3 linked regions of the Drosophila melanogaster genome follow. The protein of the gene in region 1 interacts with the protein of each later gene in a pairwise test. Each region holds a gene or a part of one and is shown in the gene's direction. Other genes may lie near its edges.

The links.
Region 2: the proteins of CG11726 (region 1) and Mrm2 interact in a two-hybrid assay, tested with the Drosophila melanogaster proteins (one large-scale study listed by BioGRID).
Region 3: the proteins of CG11726 (region 1) and CG8349 interact in a two-hybrid assay, tested with the Drosophila melanogaster proteins (one large-scale study listed by BioGRID).

Annotation. Positions count from the first base shown.
Region 1 is NT_037436.4:11,390,918-11,398,404, forward strand, and holds CG11726 (uncharacterized protein), read left to right. Parts: upstream 1-3,772; 5' UTR 3,773-3,853; coding exon 3,854-4,729; 3' UTR 4,730-4,756; downstream 4,757-7,487. Other genes in the region: CG44362 (uncharacterized protein), read left to right, coding at 6,625-6,948.
Region 2 is NT_033777.3:19,858,661-19,863,805, forward strand, and holds Mrm2 (mitochondrial rRNA methyltransferase 2), read left to right. Parts: upstream 1-2,949; 5' UTR 2,950-2,982; coding exon 2,983-3,735; 3' UTR 3,736-3,940; downstream 3,941-5,145. Other genes in the region: Ire1 (Inositol-requiring enzyme-1), read right to left, coding at 1,987-2,101, 2,226-2,354; CG4572 (uncharacterized protein), read right to left, coding at 4,062-5,145. UniProt on the Drosophila melanogaster protein: S-adenosyl-L-methionine-dependent 2'-O-ribose methyltransferase that catalyzes the formation of 2'-O-methyluridine at position 1579 (Um1579) in the mitochondrial large subunit ribosomal RNA (mtLSU rRNA), a universally conserved modification in the peptidyl transferase domain of the mtLSU rRNA.
Region 3 is NT_033779.5:8,213,214-8,218,106, forward strand, and holds CG8349 (uncharacterized protein), read left to right. Parts: upstream 1-2,701; 5' UTR 2,702-2,772; coding exon 2,773-3,130; intron 3,131-3,189; coding exon 3,190-3,626; 3' UTR 3,627-3,688; downstream 3,689-4,893. Other genes in the region: CG8360 (uncharacterized protein), read left to right, coding at 6-69, 124-316, 568-787; CG8353 (uncharacterized protein), read left to right, coding at 1,205-1,274, 1,459-1,901; CG8292 (uncharacterized protein), read right to left, coding at 3,761-4,411, 4,474-4,686.

The DNA of each region.
Region 1 (7,487 bases):
GGATGGAGATGGGGGCTTGGAGGTGGGAAAGGAAGTGGGTGAAATTTCGCCAGCTGAATGCTGAATGCAAATCGTAATTTGGGGGCTTAACGTTTGATGGGTTTTTCATAAATGTGCAAAGGCTGAAAATGGTTCCACATTGAAATTCGCACAGATTCGCTGGCCAGTAATTCAATGATTGACCCCCTGAACTGGCTACAAAGGAAATGATCAAAGCGAAATTTATGTAAAGTATGCTTTTTAATCGGATACAACTTGTCACTTTGAAGTATTTATAAATCCAATTAAAATAAGATTTTTGAATGATAAGAAATATATTTTAACTAATTAATAATCAGCATTCTATTGTATCTTATTGAAATGAAATAGCACAAAATTTATAAAAAACTAATTAAAATTCCAATCATAATTCGCAGCTTACCACTTGATGGGCGTTTAATGAGCTCGTGAGATTCAAAGGAGGGCCCCACTTGTAAGATTTGTCAGCTAATCCAATGTGGGATTGACTTGTGATCCGCAAACGAAACTCCTTGACTCGAACGGAAGCTGGCTAATAAGGGGATTCCCTGGCTAGCTCCGATTGTCTGTGCATGAATCATGCGCAGCTTTGACATTTATGGCCTCAATTTATTTGATAAATTTCACACGCACGTTATCAATTGGCAGACGACAGTGACTCCCCCCTTCGGTGGTGGGCAATAAATTTTGACGGATTAGTTCGCTTATGAGTGGCATCGGCGAAAGGACTTCGAGGAATCCCTTGGCATCCAAAAACCAGTGGGCAAGTGGGCGAAACTATTCGCCATGGGATAAACTGTAATAATGGCCATTATTATTTATTTTTATTTTCCTCCCCGCTGTGTGTGCGGCGTATCAATTTTCATAAAATATCGATTGCCTGGTTATTGATAACCGTGGCTAAAGTCATATTATTTCCCGGTGCTCGGTTCGATGCGGACCAGATCCGGCGTGAAAATAAAACCCTCGGATTGATAAATTTTCCGATTTCAGGCCTGCTCAGGCCGTGCATTTGTCAATTTTGGCGCAGCTCGGTGGAGCGACTTCTGATTTCGATACCGGGAGTAGTCATCTATGCCATGATTTCGGCACAAATGAGATAGTCATAAAGATTATAAAATGGGGGTTGGAAGTCGAGGTAATTCAATGGGATGGTTGTGATTGTCAGAGGGAATAAATTGCCCACATTCAAACTTTTAAGAAAGTGTCTTCATCGTGGAAAATAAATTACCAATGATAGATTCTTAAAATCATTTTATTTCTACTTCAATGGACTTAATATCTGCTCATTGAGGGGTATATTTTTTGGCAGAATTATAATACTCCAAACTTACGATAATGTTTCTCGAACCAAAAGATTTGATTTGAATACCACCATAACAGCACATAGCTAGCTTTTTAATGCACTTGAATATTTAAAGGGTAGCAGGGGAGTAAATAAACAATTAGTTATCCCCATTGTTGAACCCCTTAATGAGCATTTTCCAGCACACCATAAGCTGCATTTAACCAAATCATGATAATTGCTCCAATCGAGACAATTTGCCAAAGCCAATTGATTAATTAATAAGGTGCTCGAGCTTATTCGAAGCTCGGAATAGAACCGGGAAATGATTTTGGGTGTGGCCAGGCCGCCAGTTCTTCAGTCTCTGGGCTACCTACATAATTTAAAGCTAATTAATTTTCCTGGCGCAGCTCATTCGAAATACATCAATCAAAATCCAAGTTGGGGGCTAATTGCATTTACCTGATGACGGTTTTCATTTTGGTACCGCCCCTTCTTCAGATTTTCCATCAATTACCGAACACAATCAAGAAATTACGATTTTTGTTTTGACTTGATGTTTAAAGGGATGTAGACTAAAGCTAATTAACACTTTAAAAAGGCGACGAGTAATTACTTATTTATTGTAAGTTTAAAGTTTTAAAACCGCTTATTAATTGTGATATTATTCCGTTTATTATGTTTCCATATTAGTTATGTCTAAAATGATGACATATTTATGCATGAGATACCATTCTTGGTACTGAACCTTATTTGATATGCACCTCAAATCCAAGTTCTTTTTTACACCTAATCCAAATCATACAACCCTATTCAATTATTAATTTCGATGTGTTGCCCTCTGGTGACCCACAAAGGAGACGGTAGAGTTAAAGATGCCTTGTAGATAGATAGGGTCTACGGACGTGTTCGTCTGGCCCCTCGATATGAGAATTATGGGACACGTTGCTATCGCCAAAAATCTAATGCCTAATCCTCGAAATTAATTACCTTCGCTGCACCTTTGCCACATTTCATTCAGACTGTTTCTATGAAATTAAGCGAAAAGAAAGAAAATTCCATGTAGCTGAAAGCGATCCTAGTGCCCAGATACGAGTAGCTCTCCAGACATCGTACTTATGCCCGTGCACGTTCCGTGGTGAGAGCATCAAGATAGTGTGGAAAAAAAACGTGAAGGCGGAGGCCACTTGACGCTTCCTTCGTGTACACACTGTACTTGCACTGAAAAAAAGAAATGAATGAATAAAAGAGAAGTTCCTTTTTGCAGAAGCTACGGAATATTGAAATATTTGCTACTTCTATGAGATATGGTAATTATAATATACATATATACAATTTAATTTAATATTAATCTAGAATAATAATATATGTATATAGGGCTATCATTTTCAATGTTATAATTTCTAAATGTTGATGTTTATGATATAACCATGTTTTTGAGTGTGGATTTCTTTCGTGTGGAAGTGGAACCCTCTCTGTCTATGGCTTGGATTATAGATGACCCAGGCATCGTCAACTTCATCGTCATGTAAATTTTTGAAATATAATTGGCCTAATATTTTAGCCTGTCCGCTGTCTGTTGGTAATACCCGGTCCCAGACACGTACTACGAGTGTGGCTCGAGGCCCCTGGGCAACAGGCACTTGGCTGGGTTACTTGGCCCGAAAGCCCATAACACTCGTACTGGCGCACTCATGCTGCAGGCCATGATTTTTATCAGTTTACCTTAGTTTGTGTTTGGCCAACGCACCCAATTTTCCACGGAATATGGGTGTAGCCCGTTGCCAGTTGCCTAATGTGGAAACCTCCTTCCATCCTCGCTCGTTTCGGCCCAACCCAACCCAACAAACCAACCGTACCGACCAAACTAACAAATAGCAAACAGAAAACGACACAATCCGTGCATTAGCCAAACTCAAACTCAAACTACGAAACTCCTAACTCAACTCCATGCCACTTGTTTGCTGAACTTTTGATATTTTCCAACCGACGCCGATAGTTGCCAGTTGGGATCCGCGAACCTTGGCATTTGTCTAGTCCGATGGTCGATATATGTGTATAACTGAATCTGTGGAGCAGGTGCTGCACTGAATGCGATCCGCAGCCTGGGAATATTCAATCGAGCATTTTGCCTGGCCAACCAACTATAATTATGCATTGACAGAACGCGAAAAAAGCAATTTATTATTCAAGAATGAAACTTATGCTGAGAAAATGAAGTATAAAGCTTGCTTTATGTAAAACAATCATGATTTTATCAGGATTTAAGACATATCTTTTTTCATTTTTAAGTTGATGAATCAATAATTCGAGTTCATTAGCAGCTAGAAATATATACAATTCAAAAAGATTCGTTTAATATAAAATTATAATCATCATAATTCAATAATTCCTTTACTTATAGTTGTAAAATTTAATGTACACAGAAACATTTTTGTGCCGAAATTGGCATTGCTTTTTGTAGCAGAAAACATTCCCAGTTTTCAAGGAAAATACACCCACGTTCTCATTATATCAATAATACATATATTCTTTATTTGTTGGTAACTGATGGCAAAGATGTCCAAGTCATCGCGTAGCTTCAAGCTGCCACCAGTCAGCTCCTCTTCCGTGTCCTCGGTCTCCGGCAGCGAATCCGGGCAAGGATTGGAAGACATGTTGCACGTGACAAAGGTGCGAACTTCCCAGGTGGACAACGCAGAGCTTTTCATGTACGGCGACGGGCCCAAAAAATCGAATTCAGATCTGCAGAAAAAGGTCAGTACACCCGATCCGGAAGAGGAGGTGTCAATGGAACCACCATTTGTGGCATTGGTCAGCAATTTGCCAATGGAGTGCACTGAAGGCGAGTTGCGGAAAGTGTTCACCAGTTTTTCGATCCGTTCTCTAACCATTCCGAAGAAGGGAAAGCGACCCAAGGGATTTGCGTATGTGGAAATGGATTCCCGCGAGGATCTCGTTCGTCTGCTCAAAATGGATAAGCTTAAGTGCCGTGGTCGTTGTCTTATGGCCAAAATAGGCCAATTGCCACCCGAACCACCGACAAAGGCAGCTGGAGATGGCTTTTCATTATTTACTTGTTCAGGCAGGCAATTTGATATAAACTCTAGCCATTATTCGGCCAGTGTCAGTGATCTCAGCACCATCGATTCGCCAATCTCTGCGAGGAACTCACCATTTCCTTCGGAAAGTGAGTCGTCCTTTTTCGGCAGGGATAATCCTATAAAAAGAATTCCTAGTAGCACTGAGGAAGTGGAACGCCGTATGCAAATTCGTCTTCAGAAACTAGCCGAATTCGAAAATTCTGAATCGGAGAGAATTAAGAGTGAATGCGAGGATGATCCGGATGCCTTCATGTCCTGGAGCGATGCCCTAGACGAGATTAGAAAATCTGAAACTGATTCCTCAAATCATACTGAATCCTAGCAATAAAAGCATGATAATTGAATGTTCAAAATTACAAATTTTTGTATTTATGTAATAATTAAACTTAAATGCAAAAATAGTCCATATATATGTATTAAGCTGACTGCCGCTTATGAATTATTAAAACAATAGGGTTTCGATTTATTTTCCATTTAAAACCTGAAGCCGGGAAACCCGTCCAATGTGCACAAGAATTATGGATCCAAAGTGAGCTAATTAACAAAAATGAAATGCTGTTAATGAACGGTGAAGTGTTCATTTGCCCCTTGGCAACAGCTGCAGGTTACCAAAACCAAAAACCAAAAAAAAAACCGAAATTAAAAGAAAACAATTAATCAACAATATTGACTTAAAGCTGTCAACTGAATTAAATTAAACTGATTTATTAATGTGGCGACAGTTGGGCGATTGAACCGCTGACGTCCAAAATGCGATGGTGACTGTGATTTTGACGCTCCGCCACCCAAAAAGCCGTCCTCTTTGGGCCAACAAACAAAGAGCCAAAAACAATCCAGTAAAGCATACGCTAATTGACCAACTAATTAGCGCATTTAATGGCTGCCACATAGATGTACTTTTTGGTGTATGTGAATAAAATACGGTCACCGAAACAAGAAAGACAGACTTGCTAATGAAATTAACGTAGCGTGGTTAATAGTTTTGCCAAATTTGGAAAATTGTTTTCATTAAATCGGTCGGCTTTAGTTACCCGTTCTGCTCTTGGCGTCATCTTTCTCATGCATTATCTTTATTTCTTTATTAATTTTATTTGTCTGTTAATTCCCGGTCTGCACTTAATGACTCCGGCCCTTGGAGGCACGATTTTTGCCAGCGGAAAATTACTCATAGTCCCCGAGACAGCATGGCGATGACTAAGTTGGCGTCATAAAAATTCAGCCCACTTTGAATCACCGAGAGTGGAAAATTCGGAGTTTGTGAATAGATAGGAAACTAGGCTACTAATTAATATGGGAAAAATTTTTCATTAGCTCTGATACGGTTGATTTTCGATGGTAAAAAGCCGAGTTGTTGCTTTACCAAAAAGCTTTTTTTTGCTCGGTTAGTTTTGGATACATACTAAAATCTTAAGTGTGAATTTATTAATGTAACTAATTGACTCGTTTTCGGTTTCCAAGTCCTTGGTTTATATCACTATACTGTATACCTTTTAGAGTTAATCGAGTTTCTTTTCTGGCTTTAAGGTTCCTCATAAATTTCCATGCTCGGAAAACTGATGAATCTAACTTATTTTCAATTCAGCTTTATCTAAATTTATACGTTTCTCCGTTCCAGCACTTTTGTTGCTTCAATTCATCGACTAATTGCTTGAGTTCGCTTCAATTAGACTGGCCGTTCTTCTAACAATTCGGCCGGTTGCACATAAAATGTCTGTCGACGGCTTTCTCCCTTTTGGCCTCCCGTCTATCCTTTTTTCTCGTCCTTTTCTCTTCTCCTCTCGACCTCTGTCTCTTCTCATTAACTCAACGGTGCGGACAGCCCTTTCAAATTTGGTCAGAAGCGTGGCCAGAACCGCAGTGCCACTCTAAGCTTCATTTTTACACGGTGCAAAATATTGCAAAAAAAAACTTAAAAGTAGTTGATCAAGCTCTTTAAATGTATATTTAAATATGATATTAAGTGCATATTAAGTAAATAGTTAATAAAAAAGGACTATAAATTAATTATTGGACAGTAAAAAATGTGTTAAATTGTATATTCATATATGTACTTGTTTTTCTCCATGTGTAGATTCAACTACCGGGCCAAAAGCCAGGGGCCACGTCCGGAATGCGGAATGTTCTGGCCATTGCCGTTGCCAATTTCCGGAAAATGGCAATGGGCATCACGAGCAGCAGAAGCGCCGGCCGTTGGGCGTAAATTAAAATTAAATTCAAATGGAAAAGTGTCGTCGACGCGACCTGGACTCTGATCCGCAGTCGGAGGAAGGGACAACCGGCGACGGTGTTGGAGCTAGAGGCATTGGCCATTGGCACGTCTGTCGGTTTATGCAACATTTTAGCAATTATATTCGCGTCGGGCGACATTACAACGGCAATTACACGCAGGAGCCACAGAACATGCCCGTGGGCGGATGGATGGTCACGGAGTTTGTGGGGGGTGTGCCACTCCGTCCGGCACTCTGGCATTCCGGCATTCCGGCTTACTGGCATTTTGGCATTCCGCCGTTCCTGTCATCGTCACGTGGAGCGGCAACGTGATCAAGTGACGCACGGCTCTGACGGACGACAGTCGCCGCCGCAGAGGGTCCTGTCATTGGCAGACTGGCTAAATGTCTGACTGCCTGAATGGCTGGCTGAATGGGCCACCGGCCGGTTGACTGACTCGGATGACAGGACATGGAGTGCAGGACAAAAATATTTCAGCTTAATAACTGAAGTGACGACACTGAGCAGTTCCTTTCGCACAGGGAACAGTTTACATCTGTTAAAAACAAGTTAAAATCCCTTGAATGTGTATTAAGTTTATGTCGCACGTTTTTGTACTCCATTATGTTTCCAAGGACAGATAATTATAAATGTATTGAAAAGGAAGACATTTAGCATTCATATTAAAAAACTCGCCATATGAATTATGAAATTCTACTATAATCATGTACTATTAATTATATAGAAGGGCTTATTTTACGTAAGTATATGAAAGTTAAGCCAAATACAGGCATTAACATAAAAAACACGAATTTTCAAAAACTTTTTAATATCGTAGAGTATACCAAACAAGGATGTTCAAAAATATTAAT
Region 2 (5,145 bases), on another chromosome or scaffold:
GAGACCATCATCGCATGCACGATATTGACGAAATGGTTTAAACAAAACTCAAGTATTGCCAGGAAAGATGGTCGTCAACCAATATCGAGTAATGAAACCAAACAATTCGATGTACTGTCCATTCTTATCAATAATTAGTTGCAACCCCAAAAACATTCCCGGCATTAACCGAATGTTGCCGCAATTTCTGGGGCAGGTCATTTAACTCGCCGCAGCACTTTCATTAGCATGAGCATTCTAATTGCCTAGCGGTAGTCGTAGACAAAACCTGATTCCGTCTCGTGATGAGGTAATAGAACCTAACAAATCGGTACACCGATCTGCTGTGCTAGAGCCGGCGAAACAGTGTAATTACCGCGAATCAAAAACATATTATTGGCTTGAATGACTCGGAAAAATACTGCCCAAATAGTGCGCTCTGCCATGAAACCGCTAGTCAGATGCTGTCCACATGTTTGTCTCCCTGAATTTTCAATCATTTGCAGTTCCACGAAGCCCGGCGACAAGCGGGCAGCATGAAATTTCTAATAATACGAATGGACATACATGTGTATTGCAGCTATCACATAAAATAATCTTCACGGGGCGTGGGTTTTTTATTTCAGAAATTAAACAAACATGTGGAGGGCGTATTGTCCACAGAGAGTCATTTGGCATAACTCCAATACTTAGTTGGGGAGTAATTAAAGGAAGTTCTTGAGGCATTACTTATCAGGCGAATATGAATGCTCTGAAGTGGAAAATCAATCAACAAAGCCAGTGAAAATAAAAATAGCACCAGGTTTATAAGCAATATTCGATAATTCGAATTGAAAATGCCCTCACTTTTTAATTAGATAAGTGAAGCCCCATTTTAGTGATCTATTGAATGCTATACACATTAAACAAACATAATAATACTAATGGTAGCCAACAAGTGCACCAATTCAAACGAAAGCTATGCACATTAACCCCTTTAATCGCGCAATTTACTAACATCTTTCTCCTGGTGACTCATTTATATATGCCAGCTAATCTCAGAGGTTAATACGAAGCAGCCAAATGACCACAAGATTAACGCACTTGAGAGCCACCGAAAATCAATACGTCACGCTGAGAAATTATGGGAATATTCAATGAACCGAATGGAAAATGGCTCAAAGTCCCAACCACCCACTGCGGAAAGGGTATGGGGGAACAGCAACTGGTGATATGGCGCACTGGCTGGCAACTTAATTGGTGGAATTGTGTGCCGAGAACGCTTGTCGAGATTGCGCTAGACGCGGGACCTTATCAGGCCCGCAGCACAATACACAACATTAATGGCGAGAGTGAAAATAATAGAGCACGAAAGGCGGTGGAAAGATCTATCCTAGGCTCTTACATCTGGCAGATACGAAATCTGCGATGAGCTCATCGAGCGCATGCATGTGCTACGCATTTCGCACTTCAAACGGCGAGTGCAACAGCCTGGTGAAGTGGCAATTTTCCAGGAGGGGTGGTGACAGCATGGGAATAAATATATATATATAGCTAGATCTCTTAAGATCTTTAAATCTACTATGCAAATAAAGCGGCAATTTCCCTAAAAAAAAAAGACTCCTAGATTTAGCTTAAAACAACAATAAACGCAAATAAAACGATTTAAATTTAGCTGTTAAATGGTCTAAAGAAACATTCTCACATTTCAATGAGCAAAACAATAAACAAAACAAAAATATTCTTAATGTGGCATTCGGTAACAATTAAATTTTCCTGACTTTGCATTTATGAAAGATCTTAGTGCTTCCAGTTCGAATGTTTTCAATAACAAAACCATATTGTTTTTTTATCTTTAAAGTATTTAGATACCTAAAAACACCCATTTCCCGAGATATATGCTGGAAAATTCCCACTTTTGATAATAAGGACCCTTCTTTGCCCATCATATGTTTCGAGTCCCACACTTGTGGCCGGAAAATAGGGGTGCAGTGAGTGTGGAGGACAGCGGAGTGCCCGCGTAATTACCATCTGCTATTGTCCAGCGTATTTCGCTGGTCACCGGATCGATGGCTGTCAGTCCGCCGCCCAGTGTGGAGAACACCATCAGCGCCTCCTCGTCGCGGGCGAGGTCCGTGCAGTCCTGCGGGTTGTGGAAGAGCGAGAGAAACTTATGAACAACATATCGGGCAAGGTGATGAAATATTCATTGGTAGTCCAGTGTTAGCCCTTAGTGGGTCATACGGCCCAGTGCCGCCCCCACTTACCGTCTTCTCATCCTCGCCGCTGCTGACGACTTCTGCCGAGTCGCCCTGTTGTGATTTTGCTGTAGCTGATGCAATAAGCCCGCTGGCCAGCAAAAATAACACGCAACAAACAACAACGCAGAATCTCATTTTGTTTTTGCAACCGGTAGGGCGCGGGGCGGGGGTATTAGAAGAGAAAAGAGAGCGAAAGAGAGAGGGAACTAGTTACTGCTATTTCCGATCCGTATTCAGTTTGCACGTTTAGTCAGTTTTCGTTTCTTGTTTGTGGCATATTATCGCCTCTTTTTCAAAACTTTTCAATCATCAAACACTGTTGCAGCTCTGGCCGTGCTAAATTTCACATTTTCTTCGCACTCGCGTTCAATATTTTCCAATTACGTTCGCCATTGTTGAGTTGAGAGTTCGTCGAGTGAGCGGAGTAGAGTGACAGTGGGCAGATAATTGGGAAAAGACCGTACTGGTTTGAAGTGTGACCAGGGAGCACGCAACGAGCCAAATATGCAACGAAATAATATCCCATTCACACTGACGCTTGAGATGGCAGCAATGGAAATCTTATTGTTACCCATCGCTGTTGCCATAAAATCAATTTAAATGTGAAAAGATCTTTTTATTCCAACATGGATAAAATTGTAACATATACGTGGTAATATAATGTGAGCTTTGGAGTTTCTGCGCTTGCAGTGTAAACTTCCCAGAACTTGTATTGACTTTGGTCGATAAAAATCGATAGGCGATCTAATTTCGATATTACACAATGCGTCTTGTTTTTACGGGTAATTGTGTTTTTAAACGCCTGCTGCACACGGAAATAGGCGGAAAGTATGCCAAACAGCAGCCGCGGAACCTCAAAGGACGGAGCAAGAGCTCCCAGGAGTGGCTTACGCGCCAACTGGCGGATCCGTACGTGGAGAAGGCCCGCATGATGAACTATCGCTGCCGGAGTGCCTTCAAATTACTGGAGATCGACGACAAATACGGAATACTGCGGCCCGGAGACACAGTTTTGGAATGCGGAGCTGCTCCTGGCAGCTGGACCCAGGTGGCCGTGGAGCGGACCAATGCCAACGGAAAGCAGGAGCGGGCGCCACAGGGAGCCGTCTTTAGCATCGACCTGTTGCATTTCCATGCTGTGCCGGGTGCCACAATCTTTGGCGGCATGGATTTCACTTCTTCGCTGGCACAAAAGCGGCTGAGGGAAGCGTTACAAGACAGAAAGGTCAACTGCGTGCTGTCCGATATGGCACCCAATGCCACCGGAGTGAGGATGCTGGACCAGGAGAGCATCACTAACCTCTGCTACGAGGTGCTGCGCTTTGCCCTGGCCATGTCTGCTCCGCAGGCCCATCTGGTGGTCAAGGTGTGGGATAATGGCGACGTGCCCAAGCTGGAGCGAGATATGCTTAGGTTTTATGAGAAAGTGAAGAGAGTAAAACCGCGCGCTAGCCGCGGAGACTCCGCCGAGCACTTCCTGGTGGCCAGGAACTTTAAAGGAGCAACGGATAGTTAATTATTAACTGCGTTTTTTGGACTAGTTGAATTAAAAGCTTTGTTAATTGACTGTAGCTTATATTGGATAGAATAACTAAAGGGAAGTAACCTAGGATTAATTTCATCTCAACATTTTTGTTGATTTTCTTTTTGATGTTTTAATCTTTGTTGTTATATACAGTTCTGTAACAAATTATATGAATTTAGTTGAGTATTAACAACCCAATGCTCTCATCAACATATTTATGCATTCAAAACTCACACCAAATTATTCATGATTAATTTTAAAAACAAAGGCTTAAATTTGGTCTCCAAATTGTACTGAATAGTTTAAGTACGCATTTCCTAGTGCTTGTAATGAGTAAGGTGATCAATCATCATGTACAGCCACTTGGGCTGATCGTGAGGAGCCATGTGCCCGGCATTGCGGACCATGATCTCCACAAGATGTCCGGCGTGCTTGACATAGCCGGCCACTTCCTTCCCAACGCGCCACACTTCGCGGGGAGCCACCTTGTACTTGTCCGAGCCGGGGAACTTTAGTTGGTTGAGATAATTGCGCGTCAGTGGATAGGCAACAATAATGTCTAGCTGCCCGCTGTAGATGCACACAGTATAGTGGGCCAGCAGTTCGGCTATCCACGGGGCCACCGAGTCCATGATATCCTTCTTCAAGTGAAGTTCCACCTTGTTCTCCTTGTCCAGATCATGGAATGTCTTATTGCCCACATGAATTGCCCGCCGAGTGGCGCCCGCCTGCAGAAATTCGCCCAAGTTGGCGCCATCATCATCATGCGTCTTCAAGTAGTTGTAGTACCAGTTGTATCCAGTAAGGTTGCTGAACAGTGAGCCATTGGTAAGGTCCCCGTTGATTAGGGAATCAAATACGTCGAAGGCGCACTCCATGTCGTGACTCTTAATGCATTCAGCACCCTTTGCCTCGGCATCGTGGAAACTCTGCAGTCCGTGCTCGTCGATCAGGCCCAGCTGGTAGAGATAGTCACCGTACTTCAGCTGATGCAGCGGATCCGAGAGACCATTTCCGATGGCCACGCCCTTGAGCGGCACATAGACGCGGGTCTCTATGGCATTTTGTACCTTGTGGATGTGGTAAGCCAGGGCGGGAACGTATTTTCCGGCATAGGACTCGCCGGTGACCCAGAAACCAGAGGAGTTGCTCCACTCGAAGAGTTCGTACAGCTGCATCACAGCCTCGTGCAGATTGCGGCCCACATCCTTCTCGTTCGTAGCATAGCCGGCATCGTTCTCTGTAAAACTAAAGCCAGTGCCCACGGGATTGTCAATGTAGATGAGATTGTGTGTCTTGCTCCAGGTATAGTTGCGTTTCTGAAGCTTCCCATGACCATCCAACTCTAGTGGTCCATTCTCTGTGAACAAACCGAAGAGCGAGGAGGCACCTGGTCCACCC
Region 3 (4,893 bases), on another chromosome or scaffold:
TGGCCATGACACAGGTGTTTATCAATGGTGCCAGAGACGATCTCAATGTACGGGAATTCCAGAGCCTGGGTACGAAGTCGTGAAACATTGCCATGTCACTATAATTTGTGGTCCTTTCTGCAGATCCTTCGATTCAAGAGATCATCCTGGCAGCCACGGAAGCCAGAAAACAGGCTTATTGTCCGTACAGTAACTTTGCCGTAGGAGCCGCCCTGAGGACCAGCGATGGCACCATATACTCCGGTTGCAACATCGAAAACGGGGCGTATGCCACCTGCATTTGTGCAGAGCGCACTGCAGCCGTCAAGGCCATCAGGTCAGTGGGTCAATATTCTCTGGGTCACATACGCATCGCTTGAGATCTATCCACAGGAAATACTGAAAGTAAAGCGTTAGTCACAGTAAAGCTTATCTTGGATTAAAAACTTAGATTTCAATATATTGAGATAACCCTTGACAGCAATGAGGAATGTTAATCTGTAATGACAACACTATTACTTAAATTCTTACATACTTAATTATCCTCTCCAAGTCCTTTCGAATAACTAAAATAACACATTTTTACAGTGAAGGCAAACGCGACTTTGTGGCTTGTGCAGTGGTGGCCCAGCAGGATAATGGCTTCACCACGCCTTGTGGCGTCTGCCGGCAGTTCCTCTCGGAGTTCGTCAACGGCAAGGACATCCCCCTGTACGCCGCCAAGCCGACCAATCTTCCATTGAGGGTGCTCTGCACCAGCGTTCTCCAACTGCTGCCCAACGGCTTTAGCTTCGCCAACGGAAAATAGAAAAGAATATCCCAGCCCAGCCCAGCCGGACAGGGTGCAATCCATGTGCAATAGTTTATGTGACATCCCATTTATAATGTTCTGTAAACCCACCCCTCGTTATTTGTTGATTGAATAGCTTATACGAGATACGGCATCTGTTTGTGTTTTTCACTGCTCTCCGCGATCGCGATCGTTGCTTATCAGCCTGATACCTGGTTCTCTCTCGCGCTCCGAATTGGCCAAATGTTTATTTCTGTCACCACTACACGGCGGAGAGTGCTATCAGCATAGCCAACTTCGGGCGCCGCCGTCACCACAAACCGTCCATTTGCCATCGGACGTTCAAAGGAGAAACACACGCACTCAACTTGCTAAAAATAATTCAAAATTTAAGAAAATAGGCGTGCCTCTATTGACCAAAAGAATTGAACTATAATGACACATCTGACAAAAAATTTCGCACGTCCAGAAAAGAATGAGGAGGTTGTGACCTTCGGCAGTCTGGGTAAGATTCCTTCTCGAGATTGAGAACAATCTGAGAACAATCCTTAAATATCTACGACTGTCAATTATTCAAAGTGGTTCTTATGATATTAAAAATAATAATGTTATAAATTAATACTCCTTACACTCATTGACAAGATCTAAGTTTAATTCTTGAGCGTGGCGTGCATTGTTTCGACTTCCAGATCCGTCGGTTCAAGAACTTCTGACAGCTGCTTTTCAAGTGCGCCAGCGGGCATACGTTCCATATAGTGGCTTCAAAGTTGGGGCTGCTTTTCGGGCCAAGGTCGATGGAAAGATCTTCACTGGCTGCAATGTGGAAAACGCCGCCTTTACGCCGGGCTCTTGTGCCGAGAGAACGGCCATTGCTAAGGCCGTAAGCGAAGGAGCCACCGAATTTTTGGCAGGTGCTGTTTTGGCCTACGAACCTAATGTATTCACCACTCCTTGCGGCGTTTGTCGTCAGTTTATACGCGAGTTTGCCAACGCGGATATACCCATATATGTGGCCCAGGCGATCGATGCGAGGATTGCTGAAAAGCAGGAACTTTTGCAGAGTGACGATCCCGTCATGTGCACCTCAATCTTTAATCTGTTGCCGAGCAGTTTTCACACCTATCGAAAGTAACGACCACTGCAGGCAAGAACCGAAAATAGGCAGAAGGTAGCTAGGTAAAGGTTGTTTCTCAACCCCTTGCTGCCTCTAATCAATATAATTTTGATCTAATCACTTGCAATAAAGAAAATTACACTACTTAGCAGTGTTTAATGTTTTTTTTTCGATCAATGAATAGGAAATGGGGATATAAATGCTGGAAAGATTGACACAGTGAAAGATTCTAGGAAAAGGTGTTTAATCGCTTTTGATTATATATCAAAATTAAGGTTATAAATTAAAGATATCGAATTTGGATTGACAACTGCTGACGTTAAGCGCAATGCAGGGAATGCCCCGATTTGTGATGACGTGATAAATGCACTCAACTTCTGATTCATAAACACCAAATTATTGTGAGATTAAATTTCGCCATTTGTATAGTAGCGAAAATAAGAAAGATCATTGTGGTAGTGGCAATCTTTTAAATCAAATTTATAAGGTTTGTTTCCAATTCCTTTGGATTCTAGTTTTTGAGATCATGATGTTCATACGAACAATAAGACAGACTGGCTAGACCGATGTCGCGATAAAGGCGCGTTCAAAACGCGTCCGAAACGCGTCGAAAACGCGCGAGCTTTTTCGACATTCTTAATTTGTAAAAATTTTAAACGTATTTAGTTGTTGTTGTTGTTTCATTAAATGCCTTAATGAACATCAACTGTAATAAATGTAATAAAAATTCAAATGGCGCTAAATAATATAATATAATCATTTTTATGAAAAAGAAACAAAAAGAAAATAATTTGTTTGACATTAGTGTTTTACAAATTGCCAACAGATACAGCATTTGCTTCTGGCTTTCAAAAATTGTTTTCGTTTTAAAAATTTGAAGTTCTGCAAAATGTCCGAAAAGCGGAAGCTCCTTCAGCGCTACATGCGGAACCTGAGCGACCTACAGGATGAGCTGAAGCGAAAAGAGCTGGAGAAGAAGATGAAGGAACTGGAAATGTTGCAGGCGAAGCTAGCTCGTCGCCAGGAGCAATCTGGCACCAAGTGCGCTGGCGGTAAGATCAAGAACTTGCGCCAGAAGAATCTTCGAAAGGTACTGGGAAAGTATATGATGACCTTGGAGGGATTTCTATGCGAGCTAGCACGCAGGGAGGCGCGTCTAAATGGCGACAGGGGTCGGGCTAGTGAATCCGAAAACCTGCCACATCCACAGATGTTGGAGGAGTACACAGTAGCGTTCTGTGCTGTTGGTAAGGCTTGGCTATAATGGTGAATCCTCTGCCATTGGTAATCAAACCGTAATCTCCAGGTGAGGATGGCCGGGAGCTGCTAGAGGCGGCTCTTTCTGCCCGTCGATGTGCCTATGCGCCCTACAGCAAATTCAAAGTGGGAGCAGCCTTCCGTGCGAAGTGCGGCAGGATCTACGCGGGCTGCAACATCGAGAACGTAGCTTTCACTCCAGGCAATTGTGCGGAGCGTTGTGCCCTGGCCAAGGGTATCAGCGAGGGCGAGAAGAAGTATACGGCGGGTGCTGTGGTAGCCTATCACCCAGATGGGTTTACCACACCTTGCGGAGTCTGCCGGCAGTTCATTTTGGAGTTCATCCAAAATGATATTCCTATCTACATTGCCAAGGCTCCGCCGCCGGAGCAAGAGAACTGCATTCCTTCAATTCCGGACGAAGCTGAAGTGCTGGTCACGTCCGCCTACCATCTGCTTCCCCACAGCTTTAACTCATTTGAATGAAATTTTCATCTAAATAATATCCAGAATTTATTTAATGCAATAAAATTATTCGTTCTAATGTCAATAAGTATTGCAAATAATTTAAGTTAGCGATCTGATTAACTTGACAAAAAGTCAAAACAATGTGTAGAGAACTAAACGTATTTGATAACTGGTTCTCCCGATCCGTAGATGCCGTATTCGCTTTTCTCCGCAAACGGAGTGACTTCCTCGTGCACGAGTATGGGCTTAACTTCTGGATCGAATTCAACCCTTCGAAATTGTGGATCCGTGAAATTAGCGCGCACCTCGGTGACCATTCCCGAATGCGGCACTCGTTTGGTGAGGTTTTGAAACTCACAGCGTCGCTTTGGGCAATTATGCGTATTACCCTCGTCACACATTGTAGGATCCTCTTCGCGGGACACTTTCTGGATGGGCGGCATCTTCTCCGTCCAATTCCAGTATGTAATATTGTCGTGGGCAGCTACTCCGCCACACAAGTCCTCGGGACCCCAGCGCACATACGACAGATTGTATGTGGTGGAGGAGGGATCAAGGTACTTGCTAAAGGACGCCTCCGAACGGTCGATGACTAGCTTGGTGGCTACCACCGGAGTGGGCATTGTTACAGGCAATATTTCCTGTTCCTCCGGCAGCTCCTTAAGTACATACGACTCATGACTGACACTAGAAATGGGCTTCATCTTTCGCTTTACAAAGCGAAGGGAACCCTCCTCAAATGGTTTCATATACTGTGTTTTCATGTTGAGCGAGGGATTTCTAAGTGCGTTGGGATCGTTATACTGGAACATCATGGTCACGTTTTAGTTTGGTGCAACATATCTCAGCATATCAATCAACTCACCTGCCACACATAGTTGGCCATGCACTCAGAAGTCGGCTTCTCGGACAGCAGCGGATCTTTTACATAAATACCCTTATCCGTAAACTTGGCGTTCAGCTTGTTACCCATTCTCAAGTCTGTAATGTGGCGATGCCCTCGATAGTACGAGGTCCTCCAATCGGGATCTGTAGCGCTGGCAGGGCGCTTGTAATCGAAGACGCCGAACTCATCCATGGCTTATGGACTTTGAAAATCTATCTAACACTGACAACAAACACAATTTTCAGCGACAATGGAAATGTGCACCCCTTGAGACGCTTAATTTGGAAACCCTTGATGTTGCCCAGTTACCGAATAGACTCCAAACAATGCTAGTATACTGACTGCTCACAAACAGCCAGCCTTCTGTACAATATTTCTCGTTTATATTCTGCTTCAAAT